Linked DNA regions of Schizosaccharomyces pombe. Each later gene encodes a partner of the first gene's protein in a complex. Each region holds a gene or a part of one and is shown on either strand. Other genes may lie near its edges. The genes, in order: mrpl32, mrx14 and mrp20.

Region 1 (3,538 bases):
ACCCACCTCTGCTACAAGCTCATCTTCTCGTTTGTATCCTTCTCGACCTGCTCCCACGCCTCCTGCAAGTTCTTCATCGTCTCCTTTATTATCATCACAAACAGTTAAAACTACTACCTCTAATGCTTCTCGACAACCTTCTCCATTAGTTTCCAGCAAGTCAACCGATAATATAATCCGAAGTCATTCCCCTGTTTTGTTAACGCCTCAAACCTTAAGTACATCTGAAACGAAACATATCCGTCCGAATAACTCGACACCATATCAACGGAGAGCCGAGACTAGCACCAAACCGAAAGCTGTTGCGACTCCTCAAAAAGTGGAAGCACCAAGTGCCCCTCGACTTCAAAAGCGTGCACCTCGACAACAATCCAATGATTCTGCTGTATTGGCAAAGTTACAGTCTATATGCAATCCCAAAAATCCAACACTTTTATATCGAAATTTTGTTAAAATTGGTCAAGGTGCTTCTGGTGATGTGTATTCTGCTCGCCAAGTCGGCACTAATCTTTCTGTTGCCATCAAGAAAATGAACATTAATCAACAGCCAAAAAAGGAATTTATTGTCAATGAAATACTCGTGATGAAGTCACATCATCACAAAAACATTGTCAATTTTATTGACACTTTCTTCTATAAATCAGAGTTGTGGATGGTAATGGAATACATGCGCGGTGGCAGTCTTACTGAAGTGGTTACCAATAACACTCTTTCAGAAGGTCAGATAGCTGCAATATGTAAGGAAACGTTGGAAGGCTTACAGCATCTCCATGAAAATGGCATTGTTCACCGTGACATAAAATCAGACAATATCCTTCTCTCACTTCAAGGAGATATTAAACTTACCGATTTTGGGTTTTGTGCTCAGATCGACAGTAACATGACGAAACGAACGACGATGGTTGGTACTCCATATTGGATGGCTCCAGAAGTCGTTACTAGAAAGGAATATGGTTTCAAAGTTGATGTCTGGAGTCTTGGTATTATGGCTATAGAGATGGTAGAGGGAGAGCCCCCGTATTTAAACGAAAATCCTTTACGTGCTCTATATTTAATTGCTACTATTGGTACTCCAAAGATTAGTCGGCCAGAATTGTTAAGTTCTGTTTTCCATGATTTTCTTTCTAAATCTTTAACTGTTAATCCTAAGCAACGCCCTAGCTCCGGTGAGCTTTTAAGGCATCCGTTTCTTAAGCAAGCCGTTCCAGTTTCATCCCTTATCCCTTTGATAAAATCCATACATCATTCTGGTAAATAGGCTAACTTGTCAAAAAAGTTTTTGAGTAAACATCTGCTGTTAGAAGTTTCGGAATATCCTCCAACGTTTGCTTAAAAACTGTTTCTTCTCACATTGTTTATTTATCGTTAATATGCTTTTGCAGTTCGTTAGAATATATGTACCTGAGTTTATTTTTTTGCCTCCTCCACTAAAATCCATATCCGCAGGTTGGGCAGATTCAAACAGAGTACATTTTAACTACTTTTTTGCTTTACTTTAATTCCTTTTTCTAGTGCATACTTTACTTATCTGTTCCTTTTTTTTTGTTTTTTTCTTACTGCCAAGAATGATCTCAGTGACACTTGGATAATTTTTATAATAAATGAGACAATGCTTCTTTCTAAAAGTCTCAACTTTTTAATATTCGCAATGCATTATAAAAAAACTAAAAGGAAGACTAACTTATCAAAGTATTCAAAATGTAAGTACATGATTCTGAGATTGATCTTGAATCAGTCAAAATAGGTTTGAATCTTTTAAAGCGATGTTTCAATTTCAATTATGTGGAATCTCAAAGTGAAACGCCTGCTGGAATATTTCACAAAATTTTTGATCTACTAAAATTAGTACAAATACGTAGAAAACTTCAAATAATTAAATGGACTATGATTGTAGCGTAGTTCATGAGCTTAAGAAAATTGTCAACATTAAACTGCGAGACTTAATAAAGAGAGAGCGCACTTAGCATTTAAATGTCAAGCCAAAGCAATAGTGAATTTGAGGAGTCTCGTTATACATGGGTTATTACTACTCAACAGCAGACTATAGATTTAGGCAGCAGCCTACTTCTTAAGCATTGTCTCGAAACCAAAGTAACTGGTCTTTAAGTTTCCTTTTGACGACTTCCAATTATTTCAAACTCTTTTCTCGGAGATCGTAAATCTATCTGTGATTGGGTCTACTGGTTTTAGAAAACGGCTATATGCATCGTTTTATAACTATATAATTAAGATCAAGTTCTGCAGTAACTAAGTTCGCCTTACCTTGAGAAAACTTTTAAAATATTGTTCAGCATTACTGTACCCAACAATATTCTACTGTTCGCGCTTGGGTCGAAAATGGCTCTTTTAAGAGGAAATTCTTTGGCAATTAGCCAAAAAATGTTATCAGTTTTTCAAGCTAGCGCCCTTCCTCATATTTCTTTGAGGATATTTATTTCCCCCCCTTCAATAGCTAATATATGGAATTCCATTTTGCTTGCTGTTCCAAAGAAAAAAACTTCTTATACTAAGAAACGAAGTCGCTTACTGTCCGGAAAAGCATTAAAAGACAAAACAGTTAATCGTTGTCCTATTTGCGGGTCTTTTAAATTGGCACATCATTTATGTTCTCACTGTTTTAGAAATATTCGTCGAGAATTTAACGAATGAAGGGCATTAAGCATTTCTTCACTGATTTAGTGATGCTGCAAATCTTTATTTTAAGAAAAAAAATGGACTTAACATTAAATATAAGGTTGTTTCATGTAATAGTATTGCAGTTAGTGAATTGAATCTGCTCGCACTACTTAAATTTTTTCAGTATTACGATTAATGAACTACACCCTTTTTAAAAATACGCGTATAACAAAGAATTTTTTTACTTAATTTTATTTGTTGACTATGTACGGTTGAGTATAAATATCATATATTATGCAAAAGAATTTAGAGTGAAAAAATAACAAAAAAGCTGAATATATCTCTTAGCTTTCATCCTTTTTCAATACACGTTTATGTTGTAAGCGTGTAAATAATATTAAATGCATCGAAAACACAAAAGAGACTATAATCTCATGTAAAGTATACATAAACGATAACAATAAGAAAAAACCAAGCTAGTTTTTCGCCCTCCATAAACCGGAATCAATTCGTTCTCGGCGTTGAGGATCATAACGATTAGCGTTCATTGAATTACGAAAAGAGCGACGAGCCACTTGAATTGTCTTGCTACCTGGAAGACAAACAGTTACACGCAGTGGATGAGTAGGATGAATTCGAAGGGGTTGTTTGGAAGATGAGCGGTATATAGGAACCTTCTCCTCTAATGGTTTCATTTCCTCTAATTTTAATGATTTAGTAGGAAGAAACCGCTCCGGGTTCACTTTAGGCAAATGTAAATTCAAAATAACATCGCCCTTCGATCGCTGAATTCGAACAGAATTTGCATGACTAAGTATCAATCTCGATGATTTTAAAGAGCTCGTTTCCGAGGATACTACATAACTACTACTTCTGGTATCACGACCTTTGGAGTGGCTGTAAGAAGAGGATGAAGAAACAG
Region 2 (3,758 bases), 100 kb from region 1:
GTAGCCATTAAAGTTTTGCACCCGAATGTTGAAAAATACATTTCTTTAGACTTACAAATCTTAGGTTTCTTCGCAAAATTAATTAATTTGGTACCTTCAATGAAGTGGCTTTCTCTGCCCGACGAAGTTAAGGTATTTGGGGCAATGTTAAACCAGCAATTGAATTTACATTATGAGGCGCTTCATCTCAACCAGTTCCGTCTTAACTTTAGAGGAAATAGATATGTTGAATTTCCAGCTCCCTATGATGATTACACGACTAATCAAATCCTACTAGAAGACTATATGCCGGGTATCCCATTAAGCGCGTTCCTCAAACATAAGTCAGGACCATTTAACAAGTTGTTAGCTAACACAGGAAATAATGCATTATTTCAAATGCTTATTGTTGACAACTTTACACATGCTGATCTTCATCCGGGTAATGTCCTTGTTAAATTTTACAAAGGAATCCCTAAAACAATCTTTAATCAAGATAATGAGATTAATGACTCAATTTATAAAATTCTAAGTACATGTTCGACGGAGGAATGGGATTCTGCTATGGAAGAATTAAACATCTTGGGCTATCGACCGACTTTAGTATTTTTGGATGCTGGATTAGTAACGAAACTTAGTACGCAGGATCAGAAAAATTTTTTGGATCTGTTTCAAGCCGTACTTACTTTCCATGGCTATGAGGCTGGACTGTTGATGGTTGAAAGGAGCAGGCAGACAGAACGCGTTATAAACAAAGACATATTTGCTCTTAAAATGGAACATTTGTTGAATGAAATTCAAAAGAGCACGCTTTCACTGAAATCACTTCAAATAGGAACTATATTACAAGAAGTAATGACTATGGCGAGAGAGCATCATGTTCGAATTGAAGCAAATTTCGCAAATACTGTGCTATCTATCCTTTTAGTTGAAGGCGCTGGACGCCAACTATATCCAGAAATGGATCTATTAAGTAATGCTACACCATATCTTCGTTCTGCTTCATCGAAATCCAATGTCTCACTCACAAACCCAATGGTTCAATTATGGATAGCTTTAGAAGCTAGACAATTTTTGCTTTTAAGCACCTCTAAAGAAACGGTAGAAAAGTGGGTTAAGTCCGATATGATCGCACCCAATATATAAAAAAATTACGGTTTATTTTATAAATGATGGAAAATTGTTCATGAAAAATATAGTCGCAGACATGGAAAATAAATTTTATAAACTCGTGTTTTAAAGAAGTTATTAAAGTTCAAAGTTCAACAAGTAAAATTAAACAAAGAACCAATGGAAAGAAAATGTATCACAAACTAGAAAGCATTACTTAAATGAAGAATTGATAGAGGTTACTAATGCAAATTAGAGCCCATTAAAAGATAATATGTACTCAATGGCTCAGATACATCCTCCCTTTTTGTCTTCGATCTCGTAAAACACGACGACCGTTAACAGAACGAATTCGAGATAAAAATCCGTGTTTTCTTTTACGCTTTCTATTTGAGGGTTGATACTCGTTTCCATACGTTTTCCAACGCACTTGCTGCATTTGACCGAAGATGTTCATAGTCGGTAAAGAACTGTATAAAGTAGCGGTATTAAAAGGGTTTCTTGTCGGAAACCCTCTCATAGTTCCTCCTCCAGCTAATATTGAAATATTCCTGGCTCCCTTCATGGCAGGATGCAACAAATTTCGAAATTGTTGCATAAACATCATAAAGCAATAGGAATGAAAGCAGGTGACTGGATTTCAAGAGAAAAAATTTCAAAAAATAATATAAAAATTATATATGAACGTAAATGTGCAAAATGAAGAGATTTGAGATGTGATGGAGTAGCTGGTTATTAGAAAGGTTGAAGTGAATCAGTGTAGCACCGTTTGACATTCGAAGTGTTAAATTTCAAATATTTGTGTTACAATAAATTAAAATCTTTGCTAAAATCCAATAACTACGTTTTAATAGTTTCATTCAATTCACTGGAATGTCGGTAATATAATAATAATACTATTATTATTAATAAATAGTTCATTAACCATTCTTTATACGCCCTTAAAGAAAGCAACCTGAACCCCTAAAATTTGATATCGCTTTTGCTTTTTCCCAACAAATAATTGGCATGAGATTACCAAATAGTAAAATCCATCAGTTTAATGAATTCGATTCATGGGCTAAAAGTGATAATTTATAGTACAAAAAAGGTTTTAGCAGTTAAATGACATCTTATACTTTCTTTTATCTATTTTATTTTATTAATAATACCCAGTATTTTAAATTGGAAGCAAATTGCTGCAGTCCCGGCTTTTTAAATATTGAAAGCATATTAAATATACTCATATATGGGAGCATCAATACATTAAATTTATCAAAAGTTATTATTTTTTTTTGTTTTTACGTGACATAATAAAATGGAGAAAAGGAGCTCTAATCTGCTATTTAAAATATTTGTTAAAAAAAAGGCATCGACGATGAGAATTTAGCGTATTGTTCTGCATTGCGATATTTCTTTAAACATAGGGGTTCACGAAAGTACAGCCTCTGCCACCGTCTTTTAGGGGACTTTATTGTCATTGTGAAAGTACAGAAAAATAAGTGTTGGATTTTCTAGGAACTAAAAAATGGATTATCAAAACCGCGCAGGTGTTCGTTTTGGAGGAGGAGGCGTTGCTGGCTATCAAGAAACAAATGCTGCACGTAGAGAGCGTCTTCGTAAATTGGCGCTAGAAACCATTGATTTATCAAAGGTATGTTTAAAAACCACTGAATTCTGAAAATTTGAGTGCTGAATGTCAATTATAATTACCGATGAATTAATCGTGTAAAGTAAGACATGTACGTATGTTACATATTATTGAAGTTTATTAGTAGTTGCTGTTAAATTCGCTAACTATAACAACTAAAATAACAACAATAATAAATGAAAAGGATTTGCTTTCTACTTCCTTGTTTGCTGTTTTGCATGTTACACTAATTGGACATCTTTTTTTTACCCTGTCAATCACCTTGAAGCTTCCTCCTCAAACTCTTTGCGATGATATTTCTATTGCTAATCTCTTATAGGATCCATATTTGATGAAAAATCATTTAGGCACTTTTGAATGTCGTCTTTGCCTCACTACACATGCGAATGAAAACTCTTACCTTACCCATACACAAGGTAAAAAACACCAGACAAATTTAGCCAGGAGACAGGCTCTCGAAAATAAAAAGTCTCAAGAGAATGCACCACAAGTGTTGTTGGGCATTTCTCAATCCCATGTCCAGGTTAAAAAAAGTGTCGTAAAAATTGGTCGACCCGGTTATAAAGTGTCCAAAATAAGAGAAGCCGAAAGCGGAAAATTTGGCCTACGTTTCCAAATAAAGTATCCAGATATTGAAGTGAACGCTAAGCCAAGATACAGAATTATGAGTGCTTATGAACAGCGTGTTGAAGCTCCTGACCGAAAGTTTCAGTATCTGGTAGTGGCTGCTGAACCATACGAATCAATAGCCTTTAAAATTGGTATGTTGGTTTTACTGATTTTTTATTTATATTAACTTTGTTGCGCAGATGCTCACGAAATAGATCGTGCACCCGGGAAATTTTGGAGTTATTGGGATGCACCTACATATACTATCCAATTCTTTTACAACTTAACAAAAATATCGTAAATTTTGAGCTGCTATCCTAAATTTCCTTTTTATGAAACAAAATGTCTTTTCCAAATATTTCGCTCAGTCTCCCAATTTATCAATACCGCAGTTCTTTATGTGTGTAAAAGAATTCGAACTCAATCATTC
Region 3 (3,635 bases), on another chromosome or scaffold:
GTCTGTAACGACTAGTAAATTTGTTTTTCCAAGTCGAAAATTATTAATTTCATTGAGACGCGCTTCTTGGTCCAAAGACCCGTAAATTTTTGAAACCGAATATCCTGCTTGAACAAGTAACTCAGAAACATACTCGACATGATGTTTTGTAGGAACAAATACTAGAGTAGAATCTGGTGATCCAGATTCACTTCCTTTAAGCGCTAATTCTAATGCACGTTTTCTTTTCTTCGGATTATTGACATTTCCTATTTCTCTTGGGCGCACGTTATCTTTTAGAGGAAGCTTAATGATATCTTGTAGTATACATAAGAGAGCAGCTTCGCGTTCAGCGGTTTTAACAGAAAAAAAGGCACTTTGTAGATCCGCGGAAACCTTGGATTCTACATCAAGGCGTACAAGAACCGGGTCTTGAAGTCCAGCCTTTGCAAAATCAACAAGAGTACGTGGAAGTGTGGCAGAGAAGAGAAGAGTTTGACGAGAAGTCGGCAAAGCATGTAAAATCTCTGTCAATTGAGCAGCAAAACCCATTTCAAAAAGTCTATCGGCCTCATCGAAAACGACATACTCGATTGAACTCAACTCCAATTTCATTTCCACCTTTAAATGTAGAAATCTTCCAGGAGTTGCGACCACAATATCGGGTTTTCCGGATAGCAAACTAAATTGCTCCTCTAGACTGACGCCACCGACGATAGCGACAGATCGAAGATCCGTACCTTTAGAAAAGTCTTTGACGACTTTCACAGTCTGAAGAGCAAGTTCTCGATTTGGCGAGAGAATTAAGGCGCGAGTATTAGAGTTTGCTAGAGTGGACTTCAAATGCTCAATCATAGGTATAACAAAAGCTGCAGTTTTACCTGATCCAGTACGTGCCATACCTACAACATCACGACCTTCCAATAAAAGGGGAATCGTTTTGCGCTGAATCGGCGTAGGAGCTTTAAAACCCTTCTTAAATATTGCTCGAAGTAAAGTTTGATTCAATCCTATAATTAAGTTAGAAAAATATCAAAGTAATTTAGATTACAGTGTCTTGAAGCATAATGCAAAGTGACCTTATGGCAAGTAATCACGAAGTTAACATACCCATCGATTGGAAATTAGAAGCCTTTCCATTCCCCTTTTTTCCCTTCGTCCTCCTGTTAGACTCCAAAAGCTTCGAGGCAATATAATTACCATCATCTTCATCGCTCACATTTTCACCAACATTTTCGTGCTTATCTTTTTGATTATCAGTAGCAATATCAACAGGAAAAGCTTTTAAAGAATTTGATATATCGACCTCGTCGGACGTCTGGAATCCGGACATTTAAGACGAGTGAGCTGCACTTTTGTTGATTTTTTAGTTCTCTAGTGTCGCTGGCAAGAAAATTTACCGTATGAATAACAACTATCAAAAGGGCCTTCTTAAGTTTGATTTAACATTCTCATTTCAATTGTTCTGCTGCGTTTCTTTATATTAAAAATAAGTAATCCAACGTATTTTAATAAACTATAACGAACTTGAAATAAGCTGCTTTATATGTCAGCAATACTACACTACGCTACGATATACTACGTTGTGTATCACTATATGTCACATGTTCATAATGTTCTATTTGCTCTATCAGCTTTACATGATAAGTTATCTAGAAGGATATAATATCATTTATGATAAGATGACTATCAGTTATAATCCTTGTTATTTCAAATGTTATAAATTGAGAACAACTGAATTTGATTCCTCAGTTCAGTTATAAGATATCTCAGCTATAGATAACGATATATCCTATATATTAGAATACCTATATCCAATTCCTACTTATACTACTTGCGTATTACAATATAATAGATCACAAGGAAAACTCACCGCAGTTCTACGTATCCTTAAATCAGATACCAAATTGCGTAGCTTACATATATTACGTTCTAGGATAATACAACCAGAGACGTTATTTGTTAATAGTATACAACTGAGCTTTGATGCAATAAAGCAACCGGATTCTCAGCACGTTAGTACTAAACAACATTTGAACTCCGTAATCCAACAAATGGTTAATAACTAATCGTTTACCTAAGGCCGTTGACATCAAATTCATCTTGAAATCTACTGTTGAGAAAAACCATTTGTTTCTCTTTTTTTGCATAACTAGCACAAGTTGCTTTAGCCTTGAAGTTGAAACTCAATAGTAAATATGAGTAAAATTGCTGGGAAAAGATTAGTGTACTTTCCAAATATAACGTTCACGTTATGCAGAGGACTAAATCTTCAACCTAAATTTGCAGTATTTCGCGTACCTCTTCATGTTAACAAGTTTGATGTTCGCGATTATTTGCAACATGTGTACAATTTAAAAGTCGTATCAGTTAAGTCAAGAATTTATCAGGGCAAACTTTTTAGAAATCAACTAGGACAGGTTAAGAGACCACAATCTGAAAAACGCGTCATCGTTGAGATGGAAGAACCTTTCGTTTACCCAAATGCCCCAAATGATTTGAAAGATTGGCAGGAGGGTGAATTACTTCCTGATGGTTCTAATGTGAAAACCCTGAGCAGGTATCCAAAGGTCCTTGAACAAGTTGACATGAAACGGGTGAACGAAGAGTTAAGTAAGTTACAAGATAAGCAGATACTCGAATCACAACAGAAAATCGCTAGACTTTTAAAGAAAAAGTATTAGTATTTTTTTCATTTCCCAGGTAATGTTTTATTTTGGTTTCCGTCTATTCATTAATGCCTACAAAAGCATAATTATAGCCTCAAATGCCTCATCGAAGCGGTATGGTGTTTAATTGCATTCATTATAACCTCTCTTCTTTCATCTATTAAACTTTCAACGCCACTTGTTTCATTTTGAAATGTTCTAAAACTATTTTGGAAATTCTTTTCATGTCGGAAAAGCACGGTCGTCAATTAATAAAATAATAATTTTGTATCACAATACTTCTTAAATGCGTATCTCGCAAGTTCCAGCCCTAGTTGAGTACCTTACCCATTTAATACTTTTGTATTTGCTATTAGAAGGTTCACTGACCCTTAAGTATTGCACATGTAGACCGGAGCTGGTAAACATAAGAATATTGAAATCTAAGGATATTGGAGGCTTCGCCCATATTTGCTGGTTAGTTGTATTAGATAACTCTACCTCAGCGTAAAAAATAAGTTCAGTTTCGCCTAAAAACCGGGGAATTTTCCAATTGATAATATTTTCAGAGGGCTCGTACCCTGCCTTTCCTCGATTTACACGAGGATTAGCTTTTACCACATTTGTGGGAACCGGTATCCGAAAGTTCAAAGAAGAAGAAAGTTTGTGTGGATAGTCTGCTCGTATACTGATACGATAAATAATTTTTTGTTTCGACAACTGTTCGACAATAGGAACAATTCTAAAAGGAATATTTATGTTTTCATGTGAACGATAACTCATTAATTCAACCTCACCATCCGGCGGAATGAAAGTAATTCTGTGTTCATTTTCAAATTCCGGCAATCTAACACATTGATGAAACTGGCAATCTTCTAAAATGACAAATCCTCCGTTAACTGAGGACGGATTTCTAGAGTTATTTGATTTAGACTTGCTTTCTGATTGTTTTAATTTAAAATCAAGCTTATCATTTAGCCCAAACTGACATTCAGGCATTCCAGAAAG

Evidence for each region.
Region 2: mrpl32 (region 1) and mrx14 share a complex: the UniProt entries of both Schizosaccharomyces pombe proteins name them as parts of the mitochondrial large ribosomal subunit.
Region 3: mrpl32 (region 1) and mrp20 share a complex: the UniProt entries of both Schizosaccharomyces pombe proteins name them as parts of the mitochondrial large ribosomal subunit.

What each region holds. Positions count from the first base shown.
Region 1 is NC_003423.3:3,905,801-3,909,338, forward strand, and holds mrpl32 (mitochondrial 54S ribosomal protein bL32m), read left to right. Parts: upstream 1-2,051; 5' UTR 2,052-2,337; coding exon 2,338-2,649; 3' UTR 2,650-2,931; downstream 2,932-3,538. Other genes in the region: PAK-like kinase Shk1, read left to right, coding at 1-1,258; SPOM_SPBC1604.12 (uncharacterized protein), read right to left, coding at 3,093-3,538. UniProt on the Schizosaccharomyces pombe protein: Component of the mitochondrial ribosome (mitoribosome), a dedicated translation machinery responsible for the synthesis of mitochondrial genome-encoded proteins, including at least some of the essential transmembrane subunits of the mitochondrial respiratory chain.
Region 2 is NC_003423.3:3,803,206-3,806,963, forward strand, and holds mrx14 (mitochondrial 54S ribosomal protein bL34m), read right to left. Parts: upstream 1,824-3,758; 5' UTR 1,697-1,823; coding exon 1,370-1,696; 3' UTR 1,126-1,369; downstream 1-1,125. Other genes in the region: cqd1 (ABC1 kinase family protein ), read left to right, coding at 1-1,125; U2 snRNP-associated protein Sap62, read left to right, coding at 2,597-2,722, 3,039-3,480, 3,544-3,629. UniProt on the Schizosaccharomyces pombe protein: Component of the mitochondrial ribosome (mitoribosome), a dedicated translation machinery responsible for the synthesis of mitochondrial genome-encoded proteins, including at least some of the essential transmembrane subunits of the mitochondrial respiratory chain.
Region 3 is NC_003424.3:400,883-404,517, forward strand, and holds mrp20 (mitochondrial 54S ribosomal protein uL23m), read left to right. Parts: upstream 1-2,003; 5' UTR 2,004-2,177; coding exon 2,178-2,663; 3' UTR 2,664-2,930; downstream 2,931-3,635. Other genes in the region: ATP-dependent RNA helicase Dbp10, read right to left, coding at 1-989, 1,090-1,312; AP-2 adaptor complex subunit Apm4, read right to left, coding at 2,931-3,635. UniProt on the Schizosaccharomyces pombe protein: Component of the mitochondrial ribosome (mitoribosome), a dedicated translation machinery responsible for the synthesis of mitochondrial genome-encoded proteins, including at least some of the essential transmembrane subunits of the mitochondrial respiratory chain.